4 linked regions of the Notamacropus eugenii genome follow. The protein of the gene in region 1 interacts with the protein of each later gene in a pairwise test. Links are inferred from orthologs where the notes say so. Each region holds a gene or a part of one and is shown in the gene's direction. Other genes may lie near its edges. The genes, in order: COQ8A, LDAF1, TMEM239 and SH3GLB1.

What was found.
Region 2: the proteins of COQ8A (region 1) and LDAF1 interact in binary tests that used the Homo sapiens proteins (3 or more experiments, as listed by UniProt). The two-hybrid records come from large-scale screens. The link is inferred for Notamacropus eugenii from reciprocal best matches to the Homo sapiens genes COQ8A and LDAF1.
Region 3: the proteins of COQ8A (region 1) and TMEM239 interact in binary tests that used the Homo sapiens proteins (3 or more experiments, as listed by UniProt). The two-hybrid records come from large-scale screens. The link is inferred for Notamacropus eugenii from reciprocal best matches to the Homo sapiens genes COQ8A and TMEM239.
Region 4: the proteins of COQ8A (region 1) and SH3GLB1 interact in binary tests that used the Homo sapiens proteins (3 or more experiments, as listed by UniProt). The link is inferred for Notamacropus eugenii from reciprocal best matches to the Homo sapiens genes COQ8A and SH3GLB1.

Annotation. Positions count from the first base shown.
Region 1 is NC_092873.1:409,108,953-409,115,932, reverse strand, and holds the start of COQ8A (atypical kinase COQ8A, mitochondrial), read left to right. Parts: upstream 1-3,963; 5' UTR 3,964-4,138; intron 4,139-4,775; exon of another isoform or gene 4,776-4,870; intron 4,871-6,980. UniProt on the Homo sapiens protein: Atypical kinase involved in the biosynthesis of coenzyme Q, also named ubiquinone, an essential lipid-soluble electron transporter for aerobic cellular respiration.
Region 2 is NC_092874.1:397,978,479-397,985,410, reverse strand, and holds the start of LDAF1 (lipid droplet assembly factor 1), read left to right. Parts: upstream 1-3,917; 5' UTR 3,918-4,328; intron 4,329-4,428; exon of another isoform or gene 4,429-4,847; intron 4,848-5,356; exon of another isoform or gene 5,357-5,408; intron 5,409-6,243; 5' UTR 6,244-6,325; coding exon 6,326-6,421; intron 6,422-6,932. UniProt on the Homo sapiens protein: Plays an important role in the formation of lipid droplets (LD) which are storage organelles at the center of lipid and energy homeostasis. In association with BSCL2/seipin, defines the sites of LD formation in the endoplasmic reticulum.
Region 3 is NC_092877.1:46,440,248-46,448,052, reverse strand, and holds the start of TMEM239 (transmembrane protein 239), read left to right. Parts: upstream 1-4,786; 5' UTR 4,787-4,898; intron 4,899-7,727; 5' UTR 7,728-7,740; coding exon 7,741-7,805. Other genes in the region: C6H20orf141 (uncharacterized protein C20orf141 homolog), read left to right, coding at 265-287, 3,152-3,385, 3,472-3,688.
Region 4 is NC_092873.1:496,315,661-496,323,660, forward strand, and holds the start of SH3GLB1 (endophilin-B1), read left to right. Parts: upstream 1-4,999; 5' UTR 5,000-5,157; coding exon 5,158-5,220; intron 5,221-5,367; exon of another isoform or gene 5,368-5,519; intron 5,520-5,779; exon of another isoform or gene 5,780-5,952; intron 5,953-6,001; exon of another isoform or gene 6,002-6,298; intron 6,299-8,000. UniProt on the Homo sapiens protein: May be required for normal outer mitochondrial membrane dynamics. Required for coatomer-mediated retrograde transport in certain cells. May recruit other proteins to membranes with high curvature. May promote membrane fusion.

The DNA of each region.
Region 1 (6,980 bases):
TGGCTTCACTTAAATCCAGTTCACCTGCAAGTCAAGACATCACTTCCACTGAAGTCACTGGTCCTTTTTGGGAACAGAATAAAGGGCAAACAACAAGACACAGAGGAGAGACTGTATCCAGGAGGAGAAGGTGGTCAAATGGAGTCAAATGGAGAAGAAAGGTCAAGAAAGATGAGGACTGAGGAAAAAAAATCAACTTTGTCAACGAAGAGAATTTTGGGAAGATTGGAGACAGCAGTTTCCAAAACAGTCTGAGGTTGAAAGCCAGGTTGATAAGGGTTAATAAGGAAGAGAGAGGAGAGGGAAGGAAATGCTGGCAGTGAGTATAAATAACTGATAAGTAAATATCTAAAGTTTGAATGAGAAAGAGAAGAGAAATAAATGACAATAACTAGAGGGCCTAATGAAAGTTTTTTTAAGGGAAGACTAAGGCATGTTTAAAGTTAGTAGAAAAGAAACCAAGAGGAGCAGTAGGGAGAGCGTGAGGATTAGAGAATGAGAGGGGATGATTGGTTGTTCTCATATAGATTTTATATAGATCAAAAAGTAGACATGTGGCTCAGTTGTTATTAATGCTCTCTCAGTTACCTTTTGAGGGTCTATTTTCATTTATTTAGTTAGTTTTACTATTCTTTTGTATCCCTAGCACTTAGCACAGTGCATGACACTTAGTGTTTCTTGATTGTTTGCCTGCTACTTCTTTAAATATCTTTGGTTTAAATGAGTTGTGACCTCTGGCTGACTACAAGGAAAACAAATACATTTGTGGGGGCTTATGAGCTATCATTTTGTATGGATATGGACCTACACAGTGTCTTGGAGCTGGGGTAGCTATTCTGGATGTTGTATCTGGGAAAGGGCGATGCCCCTGGTGCCAGGCTATTTCCATCATCAGTGACAGAGGAACATTTGGTCCTTGGAACCTTGATATCTGATGGGTTACTCAGAAGTAGAGACGGCCCTTAGGAAGAATACTTGAATCAAACATAGTACATGCCAAAGAAGTTGGTGCTGGAACTGATGAAATCCTAAAAGCAAGAAAGACTACTTTACCAGACTGCTCAGCAACTGAATGTTCCAGACAAATTGGGCTAATCTTTGTCTCCTCGTTCTGTTTGCTTCTGTCTCTATCCAGGTCTTGATTTTACCATTCATAACCTTGTGTACAAGTCATTTAAACTTTCTGAACCTCAGTTTCCTCATCCATAAAATGTTTTGTGCTATTCCACAGGTGTGTCATGCAGAAAGCTTTTTGTAAACTGGATTGCCATTTATTCGTTCAATATGAGCTATCAGAACATTGGACTTGGCAATCCAAAGAACTTGGGTTTGAATGCCAGTTCTGATAAAATGAGCTGGCTGTGAATTCTGAAGAAAAAACAGAAAACAGAGCTTGTTCATGGGTTATGCTGAGATGTTCCCAGGTTCAGACCACTAAATTATTACTTTTGTGCTTATCATTTCCCATCGTACTGGGGATTACTCTTATGTTATTAGGTTTGGCAGTCCATCAAGTCCCAGCCTGGGTTGGACTTTCCTCAGGGCTTAGTCAGTGGATGGCTGAGTAGGCTATACCCTTAGCCCTCAAAGATGTGATCTGTTTATGTTGGGTTTTCAAAATTCAATATTCCAGAAGGGGGTTGCTCTTGGAGGAAATGAACCATCTTTTTGTGCATTGGCCCTGGTGCCTGCTAAATTCTGAAACTGGTGCTGCCTGCTCGGTCTGTCTACATCTAGATTTGCTTATCACACACTCAAAACAAAAATGAAAATGGTGTTAGTTCCTCACTCTTCAGATTTTATAGTATGCATAACACTAGAGCTGGAAGAATAACTACTGAAGTCCTCTAGTCAAACTCCCTCATTTATAAAGAGGAAATGACAATGCAAAAAAGCTAACCAGAATTAAGATCATAGGATCACAGTATTCAGAGGCAGTTACATGGCTGGATACTGGATAAAGTACAAAGCTGCCTGACCTGGAGTCAGAAAGATCTGAGTTCAAATCCTGCCTCACATATTAGCTGACCAAGTCTCTTCACCTCTCTCAGACTCAGTTTCCTATCTGTAAAATGAGGATAATAGCACCCTCTAGAGTTATTGTGAGGACAAAATAAAAATATTTGTAAAGTACCTTTGCAAACTTTAAAGTGCTTATATAAGTGCCAATTATTATTATTACTATCTTCATTATTGTTTAGAGCTTAAAGGGACCTTAGAGGTGAAGATGACATCACCCGTTAATGGCAGAACTAGCACTGAAACCTAAGTCTTTTTAATGTGAGTGTTCCTCCAATGACATTATGAAGAAGACAGAAATGGCACAATCCTGACCACTGAACCAACTTTTGGAGATGTTCAGGAGCTTAAAAAAAGATCCTGTGTATATAGTAATAATAACTCACTTGTTACTAACCTTTCAAGATTTGCAAAGCCTAACTCCTGGTTTCTCTGGCTTTTTTCAAATCTCAGCTAAAATCTTTTATAGAAATTTTGCCTTTTATTTTCCTGATCCCCCTTAATGGTAGTACCTTCTCTCTGCTGATTACTTCCTATTTGTCTTGTATAAAGCCTGCTTTGTATTTATTTTTGGCATTTTGTCTCCTCCATTATATTGTGAACTCCTTGCAGTAGAAACTGTCTTTTGTCTTTCTTCGTATCCTAGGCACTTGGTTCAACGCCTGTCACTTAGAAGGCAGCAGATAATGCTTACTGACTCACTGACAGCTACCAAGTGAGGCAGATCCATCTACGCCTGCTATCTCTCCTCCTGGGGGTGAGTCCCTGCCCAGCTAGCCCTCTAAAAGTAGTTAACTTGAAAGGTTTCCAGCTAGTGGGCAGGACCTTCCAGGGATTGTACAAGAGAATTTCAATGACACCGATATTTGTGTGAGGTCTAGAATCCAGGGTCACCTCTACACCACGGTAACTCAATGAGGTAGGCCTTTGGTGGAGTGTAACCACCGCACATGCGTTTGTTACTTAAACACATTGAGAACACAATTCACACACACTCTTTCAGGCGTTTTCGGATGTGCCTAATGCCAGCCTCTTAATAGTCATCGCCCTCCACCAGTTAATGAGGGGGCACTGGGAGAGAAGCAGTAGTCACTCTCAATTCAGGTTGGTGGGTGGGGTGGAGCACCTGTGAACCCCAGGGCTCCTCCTAGGACGCAGCCCCCTCAGTCTGAAGCAGGTCACTCTCCCCACGTCACACCGCTACTCGGGCCGGTGTCCCTTCATCCCTGACGGGCCCGGAGTCCTTACAGACCTGCTTACTTGGTGCAGGCGACGGAGTTCTGAGGCTGAGCAAGGGAAGGGGATAGAGGAAGTCAACAGCGAACAAGGAGGCTGTTTATTCCTCCCCTCTGCTGCCATCTGAAATGCTCTCCCTCCCCTTCTCCTTGGGGCAGCTAGGGGATAAAGTGGACGGAACAAGCGGCTTGGAAACAGGAAGACATCTTCAGGAGTTCACATCTGGCCGCGTAACCCTCTTTGTCTCAGTTTCCTCCTCTGTAAAATGGTCCGGGGCACCCCACAGGGGGTCCTGAAAACAGCCACAACCCCCTCGGCTCCATCTTCTGGCCTGCGAAGGGTCGCTTCCAGGGGCAGGGGCCACGTGCCCGACACTGAATGGATACACGCATCCTGTCCTCCCCATCCCGGCCCGCTGGGCCGTCACTCCGGGCTTGGAACAGCCTGTTTCCAAGGGAAGAGTCTTGGGCCAAGGCCCTTCGCATCACTTTTTGTGCTTTGATGTTTAGGAAGAACGACCCCATCGGGGGTCAAACAGCACCCACAAGATGAGGAGAGGGAATGAGACCCAAGGCTGGTAGGACAAGCGGCGGCCGGCTGTTCGCGGCTCTCACACGGGCCAGCCAACAGTTAACGAGCACCTCCGGGCCGGGCGCTGGACGAGGCGCCCGCACACGAGCAAGGGCCCAGGACGGCTCCCGCCCCGAAGGGGGGCGCCATCTAACAAGGAGGACCACGTGGAAACAACTGCGCGCAGAGGGGCGAGCTGGAGAGAGCGTGACGGGCCCTCAGGAAGGGCTTCGTGCACCGGGCGGCCTCTGAGCTGGGGCTGGAGGAAGGCGCGGGGGCGGCCCCGGAGAAGCAGCCACGAGTGGAGCAGAACGTAAGGCTGAAAGGCTGGGGGCCGCGGAGGGAGGGCAGGGTTGGACTGCAGGCTGGGGGGTACGCTGAATGCGGTGGGGGATGGGGAGGAGAGAAAGGGCGGGCAGTGGAGAGAGGCCCAGCTGCGGCTCCCCGGGAGTGGCCCGAGTCTTTTTCATTTCCCCCCCCTTGCCTGAGGCCAGGCCCTGAGGGGGGTCTGGCGACCATGGCCGCTAGCACCATTTCCCGCGGGGACGAGCAAGCCACAGGCCTTAGGCAGAGTGAGAAATGCCCCGCCCCCCAGCCCTTGCACCAAGCAAACGGCCTACCCAGATTTACAGACCGAAGAGGGAGCAGGGAGGTGGGAGGAGCAATGAGCGTGGGGGAGGGGCTGGGAGCGGCCCAAGAAGAGCTGCCTCCCATTGGTCTAGCGTCTCTCCGTTCTCGCTCCCGATTGGCCCAGGCGTCAGGAGCCCCGGCGCGGCGCACGGTTCGCGACTCAGGGCTCGAAGGGGTCCTCTAAGCTCCGGCTTGTAAGGCTGCCCGGGCCCACGTTCCGAAGGAGGAAGCGGCGCAACCAATCGGAGCGACCGCGGGGGGCGGTGCTTAGGCCGCCCCAGGGCCTCGCGCGGCGCGGCTGGAGAGTTGGTAAACATACCTCGAGCGCGTGCCGGACCGCAGCGCTGAGCGGGAGGTGCGCGGCTGCAGGAGGCGGAGGCGGAGGCGGGCTGCTGACCCACCTCCCCAATCCCAGGTAAGGCGGCAGCCCCACGCACTTGCTGCATGCATGGAGAGCCCCCGCCGCAGCCTCCGCGCCCTCCCGCCCCCTCGGACCTCAGCACCCGGCGGTCCCTGTGGATCCCGTCCGCCGGAGCGGAGCGCGGCCGGCAGGGTCCGGGCTCCGAGCCCCAGCCCTGGAGCGCGCTGCCGCCCCAGCCGGTGGGCGAGCCCCGGCGCGGCTCGTTCCTGCCCCGCACCCCTGTTTGCCTTTTCCGAGTCCTGATTCTTGAGCGCGCTGGCCCCGGGCCCAAGGGCTAGTTCTGACCTTCAGTGCCTGCAGAGAGGTGAAGCCCAGCCCGGGTGGGGTTAGCCCGGGAGGACGGGGCGCTTCGGGGGGAAGAGGTGTCCGCGCGGCTGCGGGAGCTGCCCTCCACGCGCCAGCCGTGCCCACGCCTCATCCACGCCTCCACGCCCAACTTTGCCGGCCATTGGGCAGAGTCCCGTGCCGCCCTGCCCGGACGCCTGGCGGTTGGCACTCCTCGCCCTTGGAGGTTTAGGTGTAGACTTAGGCTGGCCTTGTGTTGCCTTTGGCCCATCCTCTGCCAGGTCCCAGGATGTGGGATTGGGAGAATCCTGGCCCTGAGGCTTGAGAGTTGTGTGAAGTCTGGGCAGAATGCGGAGCCTCTTAGCCTGGGCAGTGGAAATGCTTGACCTGCCTGCCCACGGGGTCTAGTGGGGAAACCATGCCTCGAGGGCTTTCTAAATAGGTGTTCCTGAACGCTTGTTTGTTTTTTGGAGGCCTTGCTCTATCCACTGGGATACCCAGCTGCCCCCTAAATTCGTGATTGAAGCACTGGCAAAGGGTGACTGTCAGGGCTTCTTTCTGGCCAGAGGACTTGAAAATGCCAAGCTGCTGGTTGTCATGCTGTAAAAGGACAGGCTGAGCTGGCAGGGGCTTGAAAGACTGACTCGGAGTGTGGCAGGAATGTCCCTTTGGAGACAAATCACTCCTTATGGGTTGAACCAAGAGCCTGGAACACTTAAGCTAAGTCTTAAGAAATGAGGGGAAAAATGAACAGTAGACAGTTATTTTTACTATTGACATAACCTTCCTTGTGTATCCTGCAAGAGAAGTGAGAAGGTTGGCTGTCTTTGCACCCACTTAGGATCATAGATTATAGATGGAAGGGATTTCATCTACTCCAGTGCTGCTTAATCTTTTCTTGGGTGTCATGGATCTCTTGGGCAGTCTGGTGAAGCCTATAGATCAACTTTCTCAGACTATGATTTTAGATATTTAACATTTTAAATGTTTAAAATAAATTTCATAGCGAAAAAAGGAAACCAATTACGTCTAAATAGTTATCAGATTTTTTTTTTTAAAGTTCATGGAACTCAGGTTAGCTACCCCTATTGTAGTCCATTTTTCTTACCTTACAAAAGAGGAAGCTTAGCTCCAGAGGATTTAATTGACTTGGCTGTGGTACACAAGTAGTAAGTGGAGGAGCTGGGATTTGAATCCAGGTACCCTGATTCCCCAATCCACTGCTCTTTCTTCTGTCATGCTATTCTACTTTACAATCCTTTTTATTTCTTTTTTATTAAGTAAATGTTTTATTGATGCTCTTTTTAGAAATAAATTTATTTAGTTTTAAACATTCACTTTTATAAGATTTTGAGTTCTAAATTTCCTACCCTCCTATTTCCCCAAGACAGCAAGCAATTTGATACAAGCTATACATGTACAGTCATATTAAACATATTTCCATATTACTCATGTTGTGAAAGAAAAATCAGAACAGAAGGGAAAAACTGCAAGAAAGAAAAAAACAGAGAGAGAAAAAGTATGCTTTGATCTGCATTCATACTCCATACTTTTTTCTCTGGATGTGGATAGCATTTTCCATCATGAGTCTTTTGGAATTGTCTTAGATCATTGCATTGGTGAGAAGACCTATCTATCAAAGCTGGTCATCCAACAGAATTGCTGTTACTGTGTACAATGTTCTGGTTCTGCTGTCTTCATTAAGTTCATGTAAATCTTCAGGTTTTTCTGAAATCTGCCTGCTCATCATTTCTTAGTGCATAGTAGTATTCCATTAGATTCACATACCACAACTTGTTCAACCATTCCCCAGTTAAGC
Region 2 (6,932 bases), on another chromosome or scaffold:
AAATACAGGTAAAGGGGTATAGAAAGTTCTCTGGCCCTACAGGACAAAAGAGAAGATGGGGACAAGGGAAGGGAGGGATGATAGAAGAGAGGGCAGATTGGTGATAGGAGCAATTAGAATGCTCGGTGTTTTGGGGTGGGGGGAGGGGACAAAGGGGGAGAAAATTTGGAACCCAAAATTTTGTGAAAATGAATGTTAAAAGTTAAATAAATAAATAAATAAATTTTAAAAAATAAAGGGAAAATTAAAAAAATTAGCTATTAAAAAAAAAGTTTGGAGGTGACAGTGACTGGGGAGGGGATGGTTTGGAAACAATGAAGGGATTCTATAATTCAAATTGATCTCACTATCTACAAGCCACTGAGATAATGCCCAATTGTTTCCTTGGGAAGGATGGGGGAAGTGGAGGGAATATTTATACTCAAGGGTTTAGTTCCCAGCTCTTTTGTAGGTCCACCAATAAAAAATAGTTTTTCAACTTTCTATTTTGGTCCCATAGTATAAATTACGTTAGCTTTTGTCTTAGTGATACTTGAAGATGCCAGAGGACACCAGAGTTGTGAGCAGATGAGGAAGAGGAGAAGGCAGGCAGTTTTATCCTAACTTGATATCATCTACAAAAGAGGGGTAGGGAAGGGTAATAGTTAAAGAGTTTGCCACTCAAAGTTATTGTGAGGATTAAATGAGATAATTATGCAAATGTACTATGTGTCAGTTATTCTTATGAATGTTAATTAAAGTGATCCTACAGAAGAGAATAAATTAGACTGTGGGTTTGGCCCCTCAGGGAAATACAGAGAGGCAGCTTAAGGTTCAGTTTCTGGAAGAGTTTCCTAGAAGGATCCAAAAATGACTGTCTTGGGAAGTCATAGGACCATGGGAATTATTGATTTAACTATGGAAGGCACTTCAGAGATCATCTTTTCCAGGGTTCTTAACCTGGGGTTGGTGAATTTGCTTTTTTGTATGTAACTGTTTTTCAATATAATTAGTTTCTTTGTAATCTTTTTAAAAATTTATGCATTTAAAACATGAGGTACACAGGCTTCACTGGACTGTCAAAAGGCTCCATGACACTAAAAGGGTTAAGAACCCCTGATCTAGTCCAACCTGAAAATGGTGGCCCAGGGAGATTAAGTGATTTGCTTATAGTTACACAAGTGAGCAGAAGGAATATCTGAACCAAAGTCCTGCGTCTCCAGAGTTGGGGCTCTTTTTGTTATACCACACTTCCTCCAATGGCCATTTATTGAGCATCCAGTTCAGGGGATTTTTTTGGGGGGACAAAGTTGGACAAGATGATTGCTGAGCTCCCCTTCAGCCAATGGTGTATTGGCAAATGTTTAATAACTGGCTCTCAAAAAAAGAAAAAGTGTGTAGGACACACTTTTAAGGTTAATCTTAACATTAGCACTTTTCTCTGTTACTTTCTTAAGTTTCAAATGACAATCAACAAAACAATAAATTGATCCCTGATGTGTAGCATTTGCTGATTTTTGAGGGGGCAAAGGCTCATGATAGAGTGATGGGACTCGACCCCTAAAAAGGAAAAGACCATGTCTTTGAAAACAACCCAGTCCCTGAATTTTCCTATATATTTCAATAGGCCAGATCACTGGCTCCTCTGCCCAAAGTATAGGTCCCCCAGCACACCTAGATCACTTAATTAGTTTACTTAACTGTCCTTTCACTATCTCTCAGGGCCCACCCCAGAATACCTAATATTCCTTTCACATTTGCTGACTGGCCCAACCCAGACCACTTACCACTCCTTAATTCCATCCAGATCCTTTAACTGCCTTTTTTGTATAAAAATCACTAGTCTTACCTCCATGAAGTTGCAGTTTCTAAGAATCTTGCCTGCTCCCATTACCTTACTATCAACATTGTTTTTTGACTGGAAGAACATTTGAGTGTGTGAATTCATTCCAGGTGGATGCCACCTTGCTGCCTGACATTTCACACTAGAATTTTAACGATCTGCTCTCATGTTATAGCTGGCTCCAGTACAACCTTGCTTCTAGCTTTAGAGCTATGATTTTGTGATATATAACATTAATAGTTAATAAGTGTGGCCTCTACTTCTCCTGTAATCAGTATATCCAGGGCCTTGAGTGTATCACTGACCTTCTCTGTCTTCACAAAAATTTAGGCAGAGAAACTAGAGCACAGCATATCTTGGCTTTAGATAAATCTTATCACTTTTCTTTGGAGATAACCCCTTTTACTCAGATTAGGCTTCAGAATCTTGGTACTTTCATCGAAAGCACCACACTTGTCCAGTGTGATTCAACACTTAAAGTAAGGTGTGAGTAAGATAATCATCCTTTTGGTCCCAGTGTACCTTCTATCTTACATTCTAAGGTGTTGGTGGTAGGAGAGAAGCAAAATACTAAAGGGAGAAGGGGAGAGAGAAAGTACTGATATCGTGGCCAATTTTAGAATTCTTTGTAAAGAATCTTTCCTCCCCAGGAGGGAACTGGAATGGGCCTATCCCTAAAATGGAAATCTGTCCCCACAAATTTCACACACACACACACATACACACACACACATACACACACACACACACACACACACACACACACACACACACACACACACACACACACACACACACACACACACACCCTTTCTCCAACTAAGTCACGGTCATAGGGACAAAGTCCAGGAGAATCAGAAGTATAGGAGAGAGGGAAATTATAACAGAAAGAAAACTTTCTTAAATATTCTTGATTCTTATTATATTCTTAATAATACATTAATTATATTATTCTTAAATAAAATTATATATGAAATAAATATGAATATTTATTTACATGCACATAAATAAAATATTTAATATTTTTAAAGATAACTTAAGTTCTATTACCACCAAATATCAAATAAGGTTTGTAAAGCACTCAGACTTCATGATCTCGATTTGTCCTTATGACAATGTAGGGGTGAAAGTGTTATTATTATTTCACAGACAAGAAATTGAAACTTAGAGAGGTTAAGGGACTGGCCCAATGTCACATGGCTAATAGGTGGTGGAACTCAGATCTCCTGGCTCTTAGGTCTAGTGTTCAATCTATGAAAGGACGTCGTTTCTCACTAAACCACACTGAACTCATCTGCTCATATATAGAGAAGCAGGGGGATGTTGTGGAAAGAGTTTAGGATCTGGAGAAGCAGTGTGGTGTCAAAATGACGGGGTGCTGGACCTAAAGTTTAAATCCTTTATTCCATATCGATGCTTTGTGGATCCATGGTCAAGACACAAGGGTCCCAGTTAACAATCGTCTCCTACCCATGTCTGTCTTTCAGGTGACCCCTTCTTATCTTTCCAGTCTTCTTACACATACTCTGATCCAAGTGCTGTATTCAGTAACATTGGCCTCTTGGCTGTTCCTCAACCATCATGACTGATTAATCTTCAGACTCCGAGCGCTTTCACTAGCTGTCTGCCCTACCTGGAACGCTCGCCTCCTTATCTCTCCTGCCTAGTTTTCCAGGTTTCGTTCAACTCTCACCTAAAATCCCGCTTTCTGAAATAAGCGTTTTCCAGCCCTTCCTCTTAGTGCCTTCTCTCCGAGATTGCCTGCAGTTTACTCTGTCTTTACCTTGTTTGTGTCTACTTTCCCCCATTGGACAGTAGTAGGTTCCTTGAAAGCAGGGACTGACTGTCTTTTGACTTTCTTTGTATCCCCAGAATAGGTGCGGAAAGAGCATCTCAAGGCTCATATTTCTCCCATTAGAGATGACTTCCTTTAGGGTCCTCCTCTGCCCTCCCAAGAAACCAAGTTCTACTCATAGGAAGATGTTAGTGAGTTGTTTGGTTCTCTGGGTTCGCTCCCAGAGCCCAGCGGGGAGGGGCTCAATAAAGACGCCGCAGAATCCCTGCCTGTCCGGCCCTGGACCGTCCCAGCCCCGCTGCTCCGCCGGCTCTCGCTGTCTCCAAACCTCTCCGGCTTCTCCTTGCGCTCTCCGCCACCGCGCTGCGCCCCGACTCCGGCTGCCCACAGCTCCTGCTAACTGACAGCTCCAGGCTCGGCTGGAACTCCTCTGCTGGCCGGACTGGAGAAGACCCTGGGGGAAGGGGCGGTGCCGGCGGCGGGAGGAGGATCGGGCGGGGAAGGGGCCGGAGAGAAGCCGAGGCCGGCTGTCACCCAGCTCCCGCCCCTTCCGTGCGTCTGCTTTGGCTCGGGCTTCTCCTCCTCCTCCTTTACTGTCTCCCCGCCTCCTGTCGCGCGCCACCGGGGGCCCTCGGTTCTCTGCTCCGCTGGCCGAAGCGGGTGGGCAGCGGGGTCTCGGACAGCTGGAGCTGCGGAGGGAATCCGGATCAGGTGAGAACCCCGGCTATCTGATCCCGGCAGGGAGGGAACCCGCGGAGCTGCGAAGCGCTGGGTGTCTCCACCCCTCTTCCCCACCCCCAGATCCAAACAAAACACACTTTGTGTTTAGGGAAAGGGTGACTGCGCCCTCAACCCCTTCTCTCTCCCTACGACCCTAAAGGGAGCCTAGGATCTTTCCACTCCCCAACTTTCGGGGCTCCCTGGGAAGGGAGAGGCCTGAGCTAGGTCTGAGGTTTGAGGCGGAGAAAATAATGGTATTTGAGGATCCAACAAGGAAGAAGTACAGCAGGCAGCCCTGGTTCTCCTTTCTCAGTTGGAAAGATCCCATTCCTACTCCAGTCCAGTCTCAGCCCTGAGCTCTGGATTAGAACGTTGTTGGGGTGACAGTTTGGACCCCCAGTAGATAGAGTGGGGGAGAGAAGGAGGCAGTGTTTACTTTCGGGCTCAGGAGTGAGAGTAGGATGTCAGCTTCCCTCCTTGAACTTATGAAATGTGTCAAGAGACAAATTGGTAAGGCCTTGTATTCTCCCTGTGGGGGCTGGGTGGTTGTTGCCTGAGGTACCTGCCGATTCCTTCTTTTTGGATAAAATGGCCTAGCCAGACCTTCTTAACCTGGAGTTCATGAAATTTTTATCCTATACATGCATGTATATAACACACTTGTATGTAGCATATGCACATATGCCTGTGTTGCATGTATATATTTCTATGTTATCTACAAATATATAAACGTGTATATATGAAACTATTTCACTATGTTTCCTTTGTGATCCTATGTATTTTACTTTATGCATTTAAGAACATTCTTCTGAGAAGGAGTCTATAAGCTTTATTAGATTACCAAAGGGGTCCTTGACACACAAAAAGGTTAAAAATAACCGTATAGATATCAAAGGTTGAGTAATAAGGGACCCTAGAAACAGGAGTTGGTGTTGATACAAATGGGTGTTGGGACAAATGAGCTTGGTGACAGATGGGGGGAGGAAAGCTTCATTGATGTAATCTTTCCGATTTCTCAGCTCCTGAAGAAAGTGGCCTGGGGAGGACAAGGCTGCCTATAACAGAAATGAGGTACACAGAATCAATAGAATGCCCCTAAACCTGGATCTATTGTTGAAGAATTGTTTTAAGCAGACCTGAGTTGAAAATCTAGACTTGATGCGTTAAGATCCGTTAGAAGGGAATATTTGCTTTATATAATGTTTTTTGCTGTATTTTTCATTTACTGTACCAAATGTCTCTAGTACTTATGGAATGTAATTTTATTTGTAGAAATGCACTTTATATGACAGGAATTCAGTAAATACTTGTTGATCAGTAGCTCTTAGGAGTTTATTTACTTTGTAATGTTAGATACAACCACTACCAAATCTGGCTTTTTGATATGAAAGGGCTTTAGGAATCAAATAAATCTTGAATAAGCTTGGGAACTGCTCAAGTAGAAAAGGTCTTGAGATAAGATCATTTTCTGGTCGATATTACAAACTAAGCAGGTGACTTGGAGATAGGAAGAAAGAGGATGAACATGGTTATAGCCTCAGTTCACCTTTATACCATTTGGGTTTGAAGTCAATTCATTTCTTAATGGATATGTATTGAATACCTACTGTGAGGCTAGCATAGTACTGTGGGCACAATCAGTTTTTAGAGATATTGAGAAGACTGAGTACATAGAGCAATTAGAACCTAAATTCAAGACAATATAAATACAGTTCTCAAGTATGTGGTATGTATCGTAAATAGTAGGGGGAGTCTAGAAAGGTCTAGAAAGAAAGATCAATTTCACTGGGAATTGTCAGGTTCTTCATGGAGGAAAGTAGATTATGCTCAGCAGCTACAGTACGTTGATCTAATTTGTTACAGACCCTTAATTGATTAAGAATTACCTTTTTTCCCTTGCTTCCAGCAAGAAGTAAACAGAGACATGTGAAATACAAAGTTGGGTTATTTTGTTTGCCTGAAGAAACTTCAGCAGGTAGGAAAGAAGTATGGTGAAAATGGAGGCTTCCTCTATATCCAGAGATTTGCAGGAGCTGCAGAAGATGTTGACTTCCTTGATCACTTTCATCCAGAGTAACTCCGAGGTGAGTGTGAATTATCTGCAGGCTGCTTAGAGCTAGAACATGACCCTTTATCATGGGATTTAGAATAGGAAGGAATGTTTATACATCATCTAAACCACTGGTTCCCAATGTTTTTTTGTTCCATGTTGTTTCAACAACCACAACAAAAGTTTGTTGTAAACTCCTCCAGGATAATTTTAATATGCTACTCATAATATTCTATAATTATTTACTATCTCAGAAGGCATTAAAGAATTTTTAGTATGAACTTGTTGGACCATAGACTCAAACCACCAGTGGGGTTTGCAAACCACTAAATGAGAACCACTGATCTCATCCAACCCCATCACTTTACAAATGAGGAAATTTAATCCCAGAGAAGTAGCAAATATAGTACCAGATTTGAACCCAAGTTCTCTCATTTCAAATCTAATGTTCTTGAAACTATGTGGCTTGTAAATTTTTTTTTCTTATTTTATAGGGTAAGTCTTTGTAAATAAGTCAGCACCTTTCAAATGAGGGACCAGACCTA
Region 3 (7,805 bases), on another chromosome or scaffold:
GAGCAATGAGTCCCATGCAATGGTCCTTAGAACCAATGGTTACAAATGGAGCAAAAGGGATCAGGGAAATCTTTCTCTATACTTCCCCCTCTCTCCCACTACCCAGGGTTGGGCATCATTGCAGACCAAGCTAGTCCAAAGAGAGTTTGGTCACAGCTATTATGTGTATATGGGGCGGGGTTGGGGGGAAGATGACCTCTGCAGTAGCCCCTACTCCACAGGTCATAATGCCTTCCCTCTCCCCTAGCAGTTTATGTCCCCAGAATGGCAGGCCCGATAGGGAGGAGGTGAGGAGTGGGGAGGTTGGGGAGGGAGAAAAGGAACACAGGACTCCATAGTAATGACCATGTTCCATCAGAACTGGCCCAGAACGCTCTTTGCTCTCTGTACTTGGCAAGGAGCTCATCTGATGTCTCTAGGGCTGCCGGCAAACCAGGCCCCAGCTGTCTTGAGTTCATTGTCCTCTTCCTCATAACTTTAGGTCCTACCTTAACTGGGTTTTGACAATGACACTTCTGTCCCCCACTTCCTCCCCAGGGTTCTTATCTCCTCATCTCTGGTTAGCTCCTTCAGGACATCCTATTTCCTCCTATATTCCAAACTCCTTCTATCCCTGACTCTCCCCAGAAATGCTCCCCACAAGGTCTCTTAACTCTTTCTTGGGTCGCCAATTTCCCATTTCTCTCTCCCTCATCCCTGTGCCTCTATTCCTGTCTCCTAACCCTGTCTCCTCCATCTCCACCTCTCTACCCCTGCCTCCTCAGTCTCATTTGTCTATCTGTCTCTTCTCCAACCGTCTCCATAATTCCTTTCTCATCTGTCCCCCCCAGAATCATTTCTTTTATTATCTTCTCATCTCTGAGGCAGCCTACTATAATGGGCAAGACCCTGGACTTAAGCTTCAAAAGGACCTGATTCAAATCCTGCCTCAAACATTTACTAGTTGTATGACTTTGGGCAAATCATTATGCTTCATTTTCCTCATCTATAAAATAAGAGATTACACTCCATAACCTTTAAGGTTCCTTCTAACTATGAATCTATGATCTTCCCATCTCTGCCTTAATTTCCCCCTCATCCATTTCTCTTCCTCAAGTCACTATTTCTATCTCTACAATATCTGCATGATCCCCTCAGGCTTCTCAGCCACATTTTACATTATTATCTATCCCCCTCCTTCCAGATACCCTTTTCTCCCTTCTTTTCCGTGTTGCTGCTTTCTCCTGTCTTTTCTCCTTTCCCTCTGATCATTCCCTTGTCTCTGGCTTCATAAATAGAGGCTTACTATCTAGAACATGGGAGGCAAAAGCCCTTCCTGACAATGCCCTTGCCCATGATCATATCTGGAGTATTAGATTCAATTCTAAAGAACACATTTTGGGAAATGAGCCACTCACTGGCTCTACATCTTCCTTTCTCCTCTTACACTCAAGTCTTCCCCAGGATCCGGGGATCCCCTTAGCCCTCTTCTTTCTCTGTCTCTTCCTAGACATTTTCATCTACTTCTCTGGCTCCATTATTGTCATCTCTTCATAGATAACATGCATTTGTGCAGATGATACCCATATCTATAGTCATCCTTGAGAGCTCCCTTGAGCTCTAGTCCCGCTGGCAGAGACATTACTAGCAATTTTTGCCTTGAGAAAGTGTTATGAAATAGTATCAAATAAACTTTCTAAGACAAATTTGGTTATCAGGTGACAGATCTAGGATACTAAGAAGTTGTTGCTGAGGAGACCACTGCCTGAAGGGAAGGCTCATCTGAGATACAATAAGACCTAGTAAACTGGAGAAAGGGACCACCTGGTAACTTACTATTTTAAATCATGATTCTTACTAACAAGATACTAAGTACCATTGTTTCTATGCTCCTGAATGAATATAAACGCTGTCAGTGCCCTCTAAATATTGGCACCCTGGAGCAGAACTTCAGTCACCCTGCCCTAGTTACATATCTCTTCCTGTTGGACATCTTCCACAAAGTTGTTCTTGTAGCAAATCAAACTCAACCTTAACTCTAACGTTTTCCTCAAACCCTGCCCCAGCTCATTCCTCTCTAAGTGCACCATTGTTATCCAAGCAGTGTCAGAAAATGCGTGGAAAGGCATGATGGTGGCCTATCAGGAGAAGTCAAGCTCTTGTCCACAAATCCTCCATACGGACCTAGAAAATTCACCTCATTGAATCCTAAGGGAGAAACGTCTTTGGCTATAGTAGCTGTTCCCTCCAACTTACACCCCCTTGCCCCAGTTCTATTTCCTTCCTGCAAGACCCAACTCATGGGGCCTACCTAATCTCTTCTCCCTCATCCCTAGGAAAATGATTTCTTCCTCATCAAATTTCTCGTGTCACTTTGCCTGGACCTCTTAGGTCTTATCTACTCCTCCTTTAGACCATGGTTACTTGTATATATTTCCTATCTCCCCATTAGATTGTTATCTTCTTGGACCCATGATGAAAAATGTTCTCCACTCCCAGAGAGAGATCTGATGAATTCCAAGTGCAGACTGAAACATACTTTTTTTCACTTTCTTTGTGTTTCTTGCTTTTCTTTTTTTCAACATGGTTAATATGGAAACAGATTTGGCGCGATTTCACATGTATAATTGATGCCATATTGCTTGCCTTCTTAATGGGTGGAGAAGAAACAAGAGAGAGGGAGAGAATTTGAAACTACAATTATTTTTAAATAAATGTTAAAAATAATTTTTAGAAAAGATTATATGCTTCCTGAGGGCAGGGCACATGTCTTATCACCAGTGCTTCATGCAGCACTTTGTATATAGTGGGTGCTCTATCAGTATTTTTCTGTTAGATTGATTTGTTTCCTGTTTTCTCTCTCCTCCACTTCTCTTTCTCTTCGTCTGCATTCCTATCCCTATTCCCTCATTTTGGCCTGTTCCATTCCAAAGATCATGGCTTCCTGATAGGAACAAAAGAAGCAAAATAAGAACTGAGGAGTTCTTCTTCTCCTCTGTTGTCTGTTATTGCCTCTTTCTTTCTATGAATGTCTGACTTGTTCACCTCAGAATTTTCCCTAGTTCTTTGCTCCTGAATTTTCAACTTCCTAACATCTTTAAAAAAATAAAAAGGAATTCTTTTGTGTTCATCTTGCCTTACCCATCCCTATCTCTTATTTCTATTTCCCCAGGATCCCTGTCATTACAGATCGAATGGGCCGGGGCCTAGAAGCTGGCGAGGGTCCTGAGCTTTTGGAGGGCCATGGTATGCCTTTGAGGAGTTCACTCACACTCTTGGATGGGGCCCTGGGCGCCGGTATACTTGGACTTGGTGCTCGCCTTGTCCTGGCCCTGGCTGGACCAGGCATAGCTTTCCTGCTGCTGTTACTAATGATGAGTTTCCTGACTTTTGACCTAATGCATGGGTAAGCACACTGGATTCCTGGGTCTCTCTGCCCCAGAGAGGGTCTCTTTGGCCTAAGTCTCACCTTAGGTTCTCCTTTCCTTGTAGGACTCCGGAGTTGCCTTTGCCTCAAAGACCAATGTTTAGACCCCTTGGCCCAGGAGCAGGGGGCGAAGGCTCCAGCTTGCAAGAACCACTGCTCCCACCTGCCTTGAGCCAAGTCCTGGATGGATTCCTGCTCTTCACCCTTCTAGGGCTTATTTTTGGGGCCCTGATGCCCATCAGTATCTTCAGCCTTGTAGTCAGCCTAAAGGCTCTGGCCTGAAGCAAAGCCTCCGCTCTCCAGGAATCAGCAGGCTAAAAGATTCTCTTCACAGAAAATACATGAGGATTGCCCCAGCCTCTGCCTCTGAATTTCCTTTCTGGTTGTCTCTAGGCTAGGATGAGTGGTCTGGAAAGAAGACCCTAAATTATTCCAGGTCCCAGGGTTTGAAAAACCAATATAGAAGACTCTTAAGTCAGAGTAGACCCTATTCTACTCAGTAGCCTAAACCTTGGACCCTTAGATAAGTGTCTAACACCAATAGTGCTGTAAGGAGCCTATCTGATCCTTTCAGCCACACAATCAGAATCTTAGAATCTGTAGCTCAAAAGGGCCTTTAGAGATCATTTGATTCAATCCTCTCATTTTGTAAGGGAGCAAAGAAAGACCCAGGAAGGCAAAGAGGTCTATTCACCAGGACACAGGGAAAAAGTAGCAAAATTCCATGAATTTTAAGGGTCTAAGAGTTTGGGGTCATGGGTCATGGGGCAGAAGGTATAGCCCCCAATAACTTAAATCCTAGCAGAAGAATAGGAGGTTAGGGAGAACAGGGAGATGCAGAGGCCTGAGACAGCGCCGGCCTTGGTTTATGATCTCTGAGGAGGGAGGGTGTGGAAAGAGAATTCTATGGCAGGTTCAGGTTCAGCCTGCTGACTATATCAAGAAGGATGTAGGTCAGACCTTGGGCAGGCTTTTCAGCCAGGAGGCATTTAGAAACCAGGGAGTAGGGGAGACAGGGAAGAGGAGGCGAAATTCTTTTCCTTGGAGAACACAAAATCACAGAGCAAGTAAGGAGCATATTCATCTAGTCCAAACCTTTCATTTTACTAAGGGAGAAACTAAAGCTAGATCTTGGCTCAGAAAACCCCTTCTGTCTGGAGGTTCCTGACAGTTTGTGCCTTTGGTGGGCAAAAGACTCAAACTCTTTTTTTTTTTTTTAAAGATACTTTGTTTTGTTTTGCCAAAGAATGTTGGTTCCTGGACCCTAAATAAGGAAAGAGAAAAAAGACAAGGCCTAGAGCCTGGACTCCGGAGTCCAATGGGCTGGGTTCTCTTTGGCACTGTCCTACCCCTCCCCCAAAGCCCGGGTCACAATGAGGCCCCAGGGGTAGGGTGGAGATGGGGAGGCCGGGAGCCAGGTTGCAAGGATTCCTTCCCAGCTCTGTATAGGGAGCTGGCGGTGGCGACATGACCAAGGCTGCTGTGCTGGGAGGTAAGCCTAGCCCCACAATGGCTCTGGTGTATTTCTCCCTTTCCATTCCCTCTATGGTCTATCCCCTCTCCTCTCTCTTCACTCTTTTCTCCTTTTCTCTTTTCTGCCTCCTCCCTTGTCCTCTGTCTTGTGTCTTCCTGTCCCTTGCCTTGTTTTGCCATTGTCCCTTCCCGTCTAGACGAGAGGAATGCTGTAAGTATACAGATATATTTAGACTCCAGCAAAGTATTTGACAGTCTCTTATGGGACCCCTGGGGCCAACACAGAAAGAAGCTGCTAGGTGATAAAACTGGTGGATTCGGCAGGGGGAACCTTTGGTCATTCAGCAGTCCTTGTGGACTTGGGTTTCTATCTCCAGCCAAGTGCCCCAGGGATCTGTGCTATTTAACATTTTTATCAAATCTGATGATGTGTGAAGCTCAGAGAGATAGCTAACCTTGGGTGAGAAGGTCAGGACACACAGGACTCTAGGCAGTCCTAAGTGTGGGCCCAGATCTAAGCACACGGAATTTAATAAGAATAAACATAAAGTTCTACACATTAGGTTCGACACATCAGTTTCTTTAGTATAGGACAGGGGAGTAACGGCTAGATAGCTAACGTTCCATTGAATCCATCCTCATCAATGTGGATTGTCCCATGTTGGGACCCCATTAGGATCCATTCTCATCCATGTGTATGGATCACAAGTCATCCATGCATGCCTATCATAAAGAAAGGCTTCTTAAAATCAGGGCTATCCAGATGTGATGGTGAGTTCTAATCTGAAGTCTTCACGCAAAGGTTGAATGGATGGCCACTTGTCAGCCATGTTGTAGAGAGAATATTGTTCAGTACAGGTTGGAAGAGACACCCCCAAAGCCCCTTCTCACTCTTATATCCTATGATTCTGTCCCCTTCCCAACCCCATCTTCTATCTGTCAGGTTTACACTTCTTTTCTCTTGGTGGTTTCCTTTCTTCTCCCCTCTCTTGTTCACTCCCCTGATACCCATCTCTGCTATCCTCTCCTGGACCCACTTCCCTAGTTCTCAACCCTCCTGACTCCTCCCTTTCCTTTCTATGTCTTTGGTCCCTTCTTTGGTGCACTCTCCTACCTCCCATCTCTTCCCTTGTCTCCTTCCTTATTCTCTTCTGTCTCAACTTCTGTAATGAAATGCTGCTTTCTTAGAGTAGTTTAATCAGTTTCTAGGAACCCAAAACCCCACGATCCCTGGAGGAACAGCTAGTGGGTGGTTTATCCTGAGTCCTTGGGTTTTCCCTACATTTTGGCCTTTCAAGGAACAAAGCCCAATCAGAGTCTGACAAGTCATCAAGGAAAGAAGTATCAGAGCAAACCTATATTGAGAGGTAAAGGCAATGGCTAGACATTACATCCAGTCTACACTTGCTACCTCTCCCTAGCCTCTGTCTGTGAAATCCTTTTCTTTCATCTGCTTTCCCAGTCATCTGGGGCCTGGTTCCAAGTTTCTGCCAATACTTTAAGGATCTGTAGCTACTTTCTCTGCTGATATAGCTGATACAGACTGCAACCCAGACCTTAATAGACAGTCCCTTTAGACTGCTGTGTTCCCAAACATTCAAGCCCTGGCCAACCTTCTCAGGTGATGAGCCTCTCCACGGTTTGCTAGAGAGGGTTTGCTTTCTTCTTCTCTAGTCTTCCAGAGTCCTGGTTCACCTCCCTGATGGGACATTGGAGGAAAACTTCTGAACTCTCAACTAACCCCAGCAGCAACAGGGATGTAGGGTGGTTGCTCTAGGTTAGAAGTCTACAAAAGATGAAAAATCTCAGCCTTCAGCCTTGGTTTCTCAGGCTTCATTGACTCCTGCCTCAGAGGAAGAACCAGGGAACCTTTGCCCTGGAGCCCCAAAGCTTTTACTTTTCCCTCCTTTCCTCTTGCTTGATTCTCCCTAAGCTCTCTGATCCTCCTCTGTACACACAGACACACACACACACTCACAACACTACAGATTACACTTTAGATTTGCCTCCAAGTCTCTCCACTGACCAAATGTTTCTAAAGGTCCCCAAGTTAGAGATCTTGAACTTAGGGCTGGGTGGTTGGAGACAAGTAAGGTTCCAAGAAAGACCTGGGGATTTCTCATTCCCTGACCTCTAATGCCAACTGTTTCCAGGTGAGGATCCTGAGACCAGGTCATGTACAGGCCCTTTTTCCAAGCTTCCAGCCAGGGGCCAAATCATGACCTTTTCTTCACACCTGGGCTTGGCCACTAGCAGCTCTGCCCCAAGAGGTCCCAGCTCCCTCAGCCTCCTCTACCCTGGTGTGTCCAAGAAACTAATGAAACTTCTCCTCCCTCCTACTCCTCCAAGAAAGCAAGATTCCCCCCAGGGCATTTCATTACCAGAAAGTTCTTTCCCCTTTCCCTTTCCTATCTTCTCCTTTCTCTCTCTTCTCCTTCTTCCTGAACCTCACTACTTTGGGATCACTTCCTGTCACTCCCTGGATACTTTGGGACCATAAACCTCTCCCTAGAGGGTGCTTTAGGATCATTCCTTATGGCTTAGAATCAACCCCTTCCAGTCCCTTATTCCCCGAAGGCTTTAGAATCAAGCCCGCTCAAATTTAGAGACTCAGCTGTCACTCAGCTCTCCCTCAAGTTCTTTCAGACATGCCTCTTTCTTTACCATTCCCTTCCGGTAGGTGCTTTGAGATCCTCCCCAGGTACCTTGGCCTCATAACCTGCCCCTCTTGCTTTCATTCAGTTCCCTGATCTTTGGGAATCTGCTTCGCATAGATGCCTTCCGAACGCCGGTCTTCCTCACTAGGTGCTTGGGGGTCACAGCCCTTCCCATTACCACTCCCCCGCAGGTGCACCGGATCGATGCAGCGGGCCAGAACCGAGGGGTCAACGGACCAGGCGGGGGCGGGAGAAGGCTTGAGGAATAA
Region 4 (8,000 bases), about 87 Mb from region 1:
AGTTATCCAATTGCAACAGAATCTTCACCAAAGCAAAGCAATTCTTTTATTCCTCCCTAATTAATTTACTCATCCTCGGCTGTCTCCAGTCATCCTGATGAATATCTGGTCACTGGATTCAGATGACTCTGGAGGAGAAGTGAGGCTGGTGACTTGCACAGCCCTCCCTCACTCAAAACAAAGTCAAGTGCAAGTCATGTCATTATTTCTCTGATGGTATGGTCTTTTTCAAAAAAGGACAAACACAACCAACAATTGATATAATGTCACTCTACTCAGAAGTTTTCTTCCCTCTCAGCTGAAGAACCTGCCTCTAACGTTCCTGAGGCTATTTACCATGTGTTCCTCCTTTACCCCTTCTCTTCATTTCAAAGCCTCTTGACATCATCTCCCACTCTCTCTTCTTTAACCACCTTCTCTAACAATAATGTGGCCTTTCTTCTTACCTAGGCCAAGACCTGTACATGTATTGATCCTGTCTTTTCCTGTCCCCAACACACTGTTCCCTCAATGAACTCCCTCTCTCAAATCTCCAACTTCTCTCTAGCTACAGTTTCTTCCCTATAACCTTTAAGGATGGCCAAGTCTCCCCCATTCTCAAAACAAAACAAAAAATCCTTCATTAGACATTACCTCAAGCTGTCATTCAACAGCTCTCCTCTCTTTTTCAGCCAAACTCTTATAAAAAGCTTCCTGTACTTGTTGCTTCCTTTTTCTTTCTTCTCACTCTTCAACCCTTTACAATCTGGCATCTGACCTCATCACTCAACTGAAATAGCTCTCTGCAAAATTACCAATAATCTCTTAACTGCAAAATCTGATAGTCTTTCCTTAGTCCTCATCCCATTCAACCTTGGCAATAGTGACCATCCTCTTCTCCTGTGTACTCTGAAATTTTTTGACATGACTGTCTTCTGGTTCTCCCCTACCTGTCAACTCCTTGTCCATATCCTTTGCAGGGTCACCATTCATACTACACCTCTAAACTGTGGTGTTCCCCAAGGTTCTATCCTAGATTATTCACTCCTGTAGAGCAATACACACAATGATTACACAATATAAAGGCAAAACTAAAAGGCAACAGAAAGGTCAAATACAACATATAGCATAGGTACCAAGCTGTTAATACTAAAGCACAGATCCTTCCTTTCGTTAATAATCAGTAACCTACAAAAGTGAAAAGTACTCCTCAGGGAGTGTATTTTGTGGGAGGGTTCATTTGGGAGTTTTTTAGGAAGTATCTGTTACATCAAAATAAAATTAATAAAAAAAATTTAGTTAGTTGCCACAATCAACTAAATGACCTACCAGTAGTTACCCTGTATCTCACTAATGCAATGAGATATAACAGGATTTTTTCATCATTTGTAGTTGCGTGGAGGGGAGAGAAAATGTGATTCTGTAAGCAGGAAAATACTCTAAGGATTGTATAGTGGGTAGGGAAAACCAAATTACTCTTCAGTGATAAAACTGGTTGCTATAAGGGAAATGTGACAGGAGAGTGAGATGGGTCTCTTTGTCCTGCACACAAATATTTGTCCTTCTAGTGTAATTTGTACTGTTAAAGCATCTCCTTTGGGCTTACTCCCAAGTCTCACTCTCATTGGCAGGCTGTGTGCCCAGAGGGCAGCTGACTACTACTCCTCTCAAGATTCTAGGGGGTAACTCTGCCAGGTTTTTTTGGGGGGAGGGAATGTTATATTACTATCACTACATTGATGTGTTCCCAAATATTAACTTGATGATGTCAACTCATTTTTTACAAAGGGACATATACTAATGTGTTATATAATGTAACATCTACTTTAGAGGGAGGAAGAATGGTATGGATCTGTAGAGAATTCAGGTATTTTAAGGTTTTTATTCATCTCCTGAGGCAAAGAAGTATTGTGCAATTTGAGAATTGGGGGGGGGGGGGAAGGAGAGATGCAGCAGGGCACCTGAAAAAGGAGAAAGAACATGGAGAGAAGAGGGAGGTTGTGGGACGTTTCTCTTGTTTTTATGGAGTAGCTGAGCTACTTGGCTAGAAGCAATGGTATCTACAGTTACCCTCCTCAAATCCATGCTTCTGGGGAGCCTAGAGAGATGAAGCCCAGAGGAGGCATGGTATAAGACTGTGTTTTCTTGTGGGTATAAGCCAGGTATAAGACTGTGTTTTCTTGTGGGCACTTGCTAAAGTGTTTGGAATGCTGAGGAAGAATAAGGAGGAACTGGCAGTTCTTGCTCCTTTTCCACCTTAGCTGGGTGCAACTTGAACCTGTTTCGAAGAATGACCTTTTATTCCATTAAAGGCTGCATGTGACTGATCTAATCTAATATCTCTCAACACCTGTAGTTGACCCTGGCCCTCATATTTCTTTGTGTACCTTTGTTTGTAATTTGAAGGCACAGGACAAGCATGGAAGTCATCAGGGGAGAAACCTTTTCTAGATACTAACCCTCAGTCCATGGTCCAGAGGGCAGCAGACCAATGGAAAGAGTGTCTTGAATTAGAGATAACTGAGTCTGAATTTTCACTGTCGCTTAAACTCCCTGGGTCTGAATTTCTTCATGGGTACAAAGATGGAATTTGAATTTGACAGTCTCTAAGATCTCTTCCAATTTTAGTTCTCTTAACTTTTATCATTCTCCCTAAAGTGTAATAGTCTTATCTCCTGACTGTATGTGGCAAATATGTGATATGAGCAGAAATTTCCCCCAAATCTCCTACTTATTAAAAATGTGCTTTATAAATCCAGCTACCTGACTGTCCATGCCTGTTTCCAACTACTTGAAGCTCATTCTTGCATCTTTCTCTGTATCACAAGGCTCCTGACCTTCACTTATCCTGATGTGCTTCTGTGCCTGTGTGTCTCAACATAGCTTAAACAGTCAGCCATTATCCACAGGGCTCAGTTACCAGCATGTATTACAAGATAGAACATTCAGTCAAAACTACTACAAAGAAATGCAATAGGATAAAATGTAAAGTATTCCATTTGGTCTCCAAAGCAAACAGACAAACAAACAAGTAGAAGGTAAGGGAAGCCTGGCCAGGTAGTACAAGCCATCTCTGAGATTGGAGTTTAAAAAAAGGAAGAAATAGCTGCCATCTTGACAAGACTTTAAGCTTCGTGAACTCCTTTTCATACATAATGCCATTTGAGCCTCACAATAACCTCCTGGGATGGTTACTTTGAATACCAATTTTAAGGGTAAGGAAACTGCAGTTCAATGATTTGCTCCTAGTCAAATAACCAGCAAGTTCTGGAGGGTGAAGTTTAGGGTTTTAGGATGCATTGAGAGGCTATTCTTTGCCCTGATCAGACTATCTCTGGGTCAGTTAGGGATGCCACATTTTAAGTACAATGATAAGCTGGAGAACCTCTGGAGACAGGGAGATGGGGAAAGTGAAAGGCCCAAGTTCATGCCACATAAGGATCAATGAAAAGAACTGGAAGTGATTAGCCTGGAGCAGAGAAGACTGGAGGGGCACACGACAGTCCTGTCTTTAAATACTTAGACTCCTTGTGCCCTGGATGGCAGAACTGGATGGAATGGACTGAAGTCATCAAGGGCTGATGTAGGATAAATTGACAGAAAATTTTAATAACTATTACACATGATCCAAAGCAGAATGTGCTCCCTAGGGAGGCAATCTGTTCTCCTTCTCTGGAAGTCTTCAAACAAAGGCTGGATGGCCGCTTGTTCCTGGGGACTCTTCCTTTCCCTTTGTACGCATTCTGACTTGGGCACTCTTCAATTATAATTGGGTCCAACTATCGTATTTCCATGCAGATGGCCACGCTCTGTTTGTCTCCAAACCACCAGTCCTGCATCTCCAACTGCCTGCTGGTCTCTCGATGCCCCGCTGGCATCTCAAGTTCCACATGTCCATAACAGAACTCCCCCATTTCTGTTGGGCACCGCCATCCTTCCAAGGACCCAGGTTCAAACCCTTGGCCGTTTTTGGCCGCTCTTCCCTCGCTCCGACCACATTCAGACACAAGTCCCAACAACTGGAACCCCCCCTTGCCTCCCACACCTTCTTCACCCACGCCTCCTCTCACGCACATTAGCCCAGGCCCTCGCGGGCACCGCGTGCCCCGCTGCCATCACTCTCCAGTTGTTCTCCTCGACCCCGTCTCTCGGCCCTTTCCCTTTGCCATTGGCTCATCATTTCCCCGGAGCCCCCCCACTCCACGTGTCTCCGTGTCACTCCCCGTGGGGCTCCTGGCCTAGCTGGCCTCGCGTCTCTCTGGTCAGTCATCTATGGGAGTGTGTCTCGTGGCGCCCCCTTGGTGGGACTCACGCCACCCCACCGCGCCCTCCCCCAAGCCGTGGCCTCCCACCCCCGGGGGAGCTGGGCGTGCGGGCATCGTTCACCCCCAGCCCTCTCTAACCAGAGCCACGTCCCTCCTCTGCTTCCCCGCCCCCTCAAGCACCGCCCCTTCCTCGCCTTCTCCCCATCCCAGGTTAGGCCCCGCCCCCAATCTTAGCTCCTCCTCTCCCCTCTCCCAGGAGAGGCCAGACCCGCTCCTTCCCTGATCGCCCCTCCTCCTCTCCCAGTCCTTATCCTCTCTTTCCCCTCCCCTTCTCTCTCCCTTAGAGAGCTAGGACCCACCCTCTCCTTCCGCCCCGCCCCCTCCCAGTCTCTCTTCAGTCTGTCCCTCCCTCTTTCCTCACTTCCCCTCCTCTCCCTTCCCCACCTCCCCAAGCTAGGCCCCACCCCTGTTCGAAGCTCCTCCCTCGCCTTTCGCTCCCCTCCCCTTCCCTCCTTTTCATCCCCTAGGCGAGCTAAGCCCCGCCCCCTCCTCTCCTCCCCTCCTCTTCTCCTCTCTCCCCGCTCACATCCCTCTCTTCCGTCATCCCTCCTTTACCTTCGTTTTCTCCTCCTTAGCGCGCTAGACCCCGCCCCCGGCCGCTCCTTCCGCCTTCTCTCTCGCCCCTCCCCGCCTCCCCAAGCTAGGCCCCGCCCTCCCCCTCTCCCCCACCCTCCCCTCCCCTGGCTGCTGTCCTCTCTTCTCCCGGGCCGGGCCCCGCCCCCGTCTCCCGGCTCCTCTCCCTGCTCCCTGTGAGGCGGCAGCGGCGGCTCCGCCCGGCTCCGGCTGCGGCTCCGGCTCCGGCTCCGGCTGCGGGCCCCGGTCCCGGCCCCGACCCCGGCCCGGCGGAAGCATCATGGACTTCAGCGTGAAGAAGCTGGCGGCGGACGCGGGCACCTTTCTCAGCCGCGCGGTGCAGGTAGCGCGCGGGCCGGGCCGGGGCGGGCGGGAGGGAGGCCGAGGCCCGCGGCCCGTTCCCCGAGGCCCCGCCTCCCGCCGCTGACAGCCGGGCCGAGCCAGGCCGGGGGCGGGTCGGTAACGGAAGGAACCGTGGCCTCGCCCTCTTCCTCTCCCCGCGGGCCGCGAGACCCGGGAAGAGCGAGGCCCGAGCCGGGACCTGACCTCCTGACCTCCCCCGGCCCCCACCGGGCCCCAGGGCACTGGGAGGCGCCCGAAACGCGCAGCTCCAGCCGCGCCCTGGGTCCGGAGCCCCACGGGGTGAGGACCCCGGGCCCGGCCCGCGGCGTCCCCAGCCGGTCACTTCCCCGGGAGCCGAGCTCGGGGCGCCCCGGGGCTGGCTCCGCGGCCCGCCCCAGCCTCCCCCGGGAACTCCCCCGGGACGGAGCCAGAGGCGCGTCAGGTCCGCGGCCGTGCTGGGCTCGGCCCGGCGCCCCCTCGGCCCGGCGCCCCTTCGCTCCGGCGCCCCCTCGGCCCGGCGCCCCCTCGGCCCGGCGCCCCTTCGCTCCGGCGCTCCCTCGCCGGCCTTCCCTTTGGCCCCAGTCCTAACTGGAGGTCCTCGAACTTTGGAAAGGATGCGTTTTCGGGCCGCTTCAGGATAGCTGGTTTCCTTTGTTACACCGCGTTTATTTTTCTGCCTCTTAACAAACGTTCTTCCCGAGGGGCTCCAGGACCTCCACCGAACTGCCCGCAGGTTGGGAGCCTGCTCTGGGTCCTGGGTTCTCCTCTGGGACCGTTGGTTAAGCAGGGAGTAGGCTAGGTGGGGTAGCCAGCCGGAGAGGTGTGGCCGGCCAGGGGAGTCGCCTCCCTGCTTTATCTGGGGGATAGAGGTGTAGCTGGCGGGGGCGAGCGGACCAACGCCCTCCTTTTGCCCGGGGGAAGCCGGCCCAGGGCCCCCTGCTGTGTAAGCGGCAGTCGGGATTCACCTGGAGAGCCTCGGCCTTGAAGGAGGGTAGAACTAAACGTTCTTGGAAACCATCTCACACCCACGTTTTAAAGATCTACCACGGTTTAAGAAAGGTGCACTTAAAAAACAAGAGGTACACTCGAGATTCCAAAGCCTACCAGGACTACTGTCGCAATTGCTCCCTTAAATACCTTAAAAAGAATTTTTATCGCTAAGATAACAAATTTATGTGTGACTCTTGACGATACCCTTAAACCGTAACGCTGAGTTTTAGTGAAAACATCTTCTTTTAAAAAATTAGCCACAGTTCAAAAGGTCATAATTTGAAATTGACTCTTTTTTGGTTGAGTAAATTTCTGTGTTCATCTTTACAACCAGAAGTGATTGAGAACTTGGAGTAAATTTAAATTTATGGTGATCATTTCTAATTCTACTTAGTGCTGTCCATTTTATAAATGAATGAACTTGTGTCATTGGTTATGTTTTGATCTCCTTTAATACCTATAAAAACATTTTCCTTCTTTAGGGTGGTGGATACTTGATAAATACAGTCTAGTTCTTCCAAGGTGTATTCTTACATTCCTAAAACAAGGTGCCAATAGGATTATTCATGCGTTTATGTTGTCTGATTTGTATTATTTAATTAGTCTTTCTGGGATTTGAATCTTATAGTTTCACTGAGAAATTTACATTAGGCCACTAAAATGTTGCCAATAACACTATTTCTGTTAAAAGCAGGAGACTTCTTCTGATCCAACTAATTTCAGTTGGAATTTTACTCATTGTTTCTATAAAGTTTACCTGATAAATAGGTCAGTGACAAGTCAAATTTATTCATTATTCAGATCAGCAAATGTTAACTAAGCATTTATTATGTGGTAATTATTGAAGATATAAAGGATAAAAAAGGTTTTGTCCTCAAGGAACTTTTTATTCTACTGGTTTGAAAGATGTGACAGGTACATAAATAATGATTATAGATAAGGTCTGGTATGGAACCATATTTTAGGATCAAAGAGTTGGGCTGGAATGCACAGTAGGGTGTCTTGGGCCTACCTCCTTATTTTACAGATCAGAAAGTGAAGGCCCAGCAGAGATTAAATGACTTACCCAAAGACATACAGGAAGTAAGTAGCAAAAGTTGAACTTGACCCTTTTCCTTGTAAGAATACATGGCCTTATCGTGCAAGAAAATTTAAGAAGAGAAGGAATACTTTTCCACTGGCGCAAGAATCAGGGAGAATTTCAGGCTGTATTTTGTGTATTAAAAAGGCTTGACTATTGGGATGTTCTCTTCAATAAATAAGAATTCCAGGTGCCTACCAGGTCAATTTGTACACTGGCCCAATTTCTAAGTGCCAAAAGCAGTCTTAATCTCTGTCTATATTTAATGTCTTCCTCCACATACTCAGTTCCAGTTGGAGTGACTGGGTCTGATATGTTTGTATAGAGTGGTAGCCTAAGGAGACACAACTGGAATTTACTATCCTAACTTCAGATGACAGACGGTAAAGTCTAGAAGTGTTGATAGTATGCTTTTAAAGAAGTGGTGATTAAAGAAAGTAGGGAAGAGAGCTTTTGTGAGCTTTATTTATACTCAAGTCTATCTTACCTTTCACTAATACCATTCTGTAACAATAACTTTGACTTACTTTTCAAGAATAATTTTTGAAGTATTATGCTAAATCAACGTAAACAAGTTAAATTTTTTTTTTTCACTTTTGCTGGATCCATTACCTTAAGAATAAAATTTACCACCTTTCAGAGTTAAGAGATCTTGGGACCATACTTCATGTGAGATTGAAAATACTGTGCCTGATTGTTTAGACAAAACA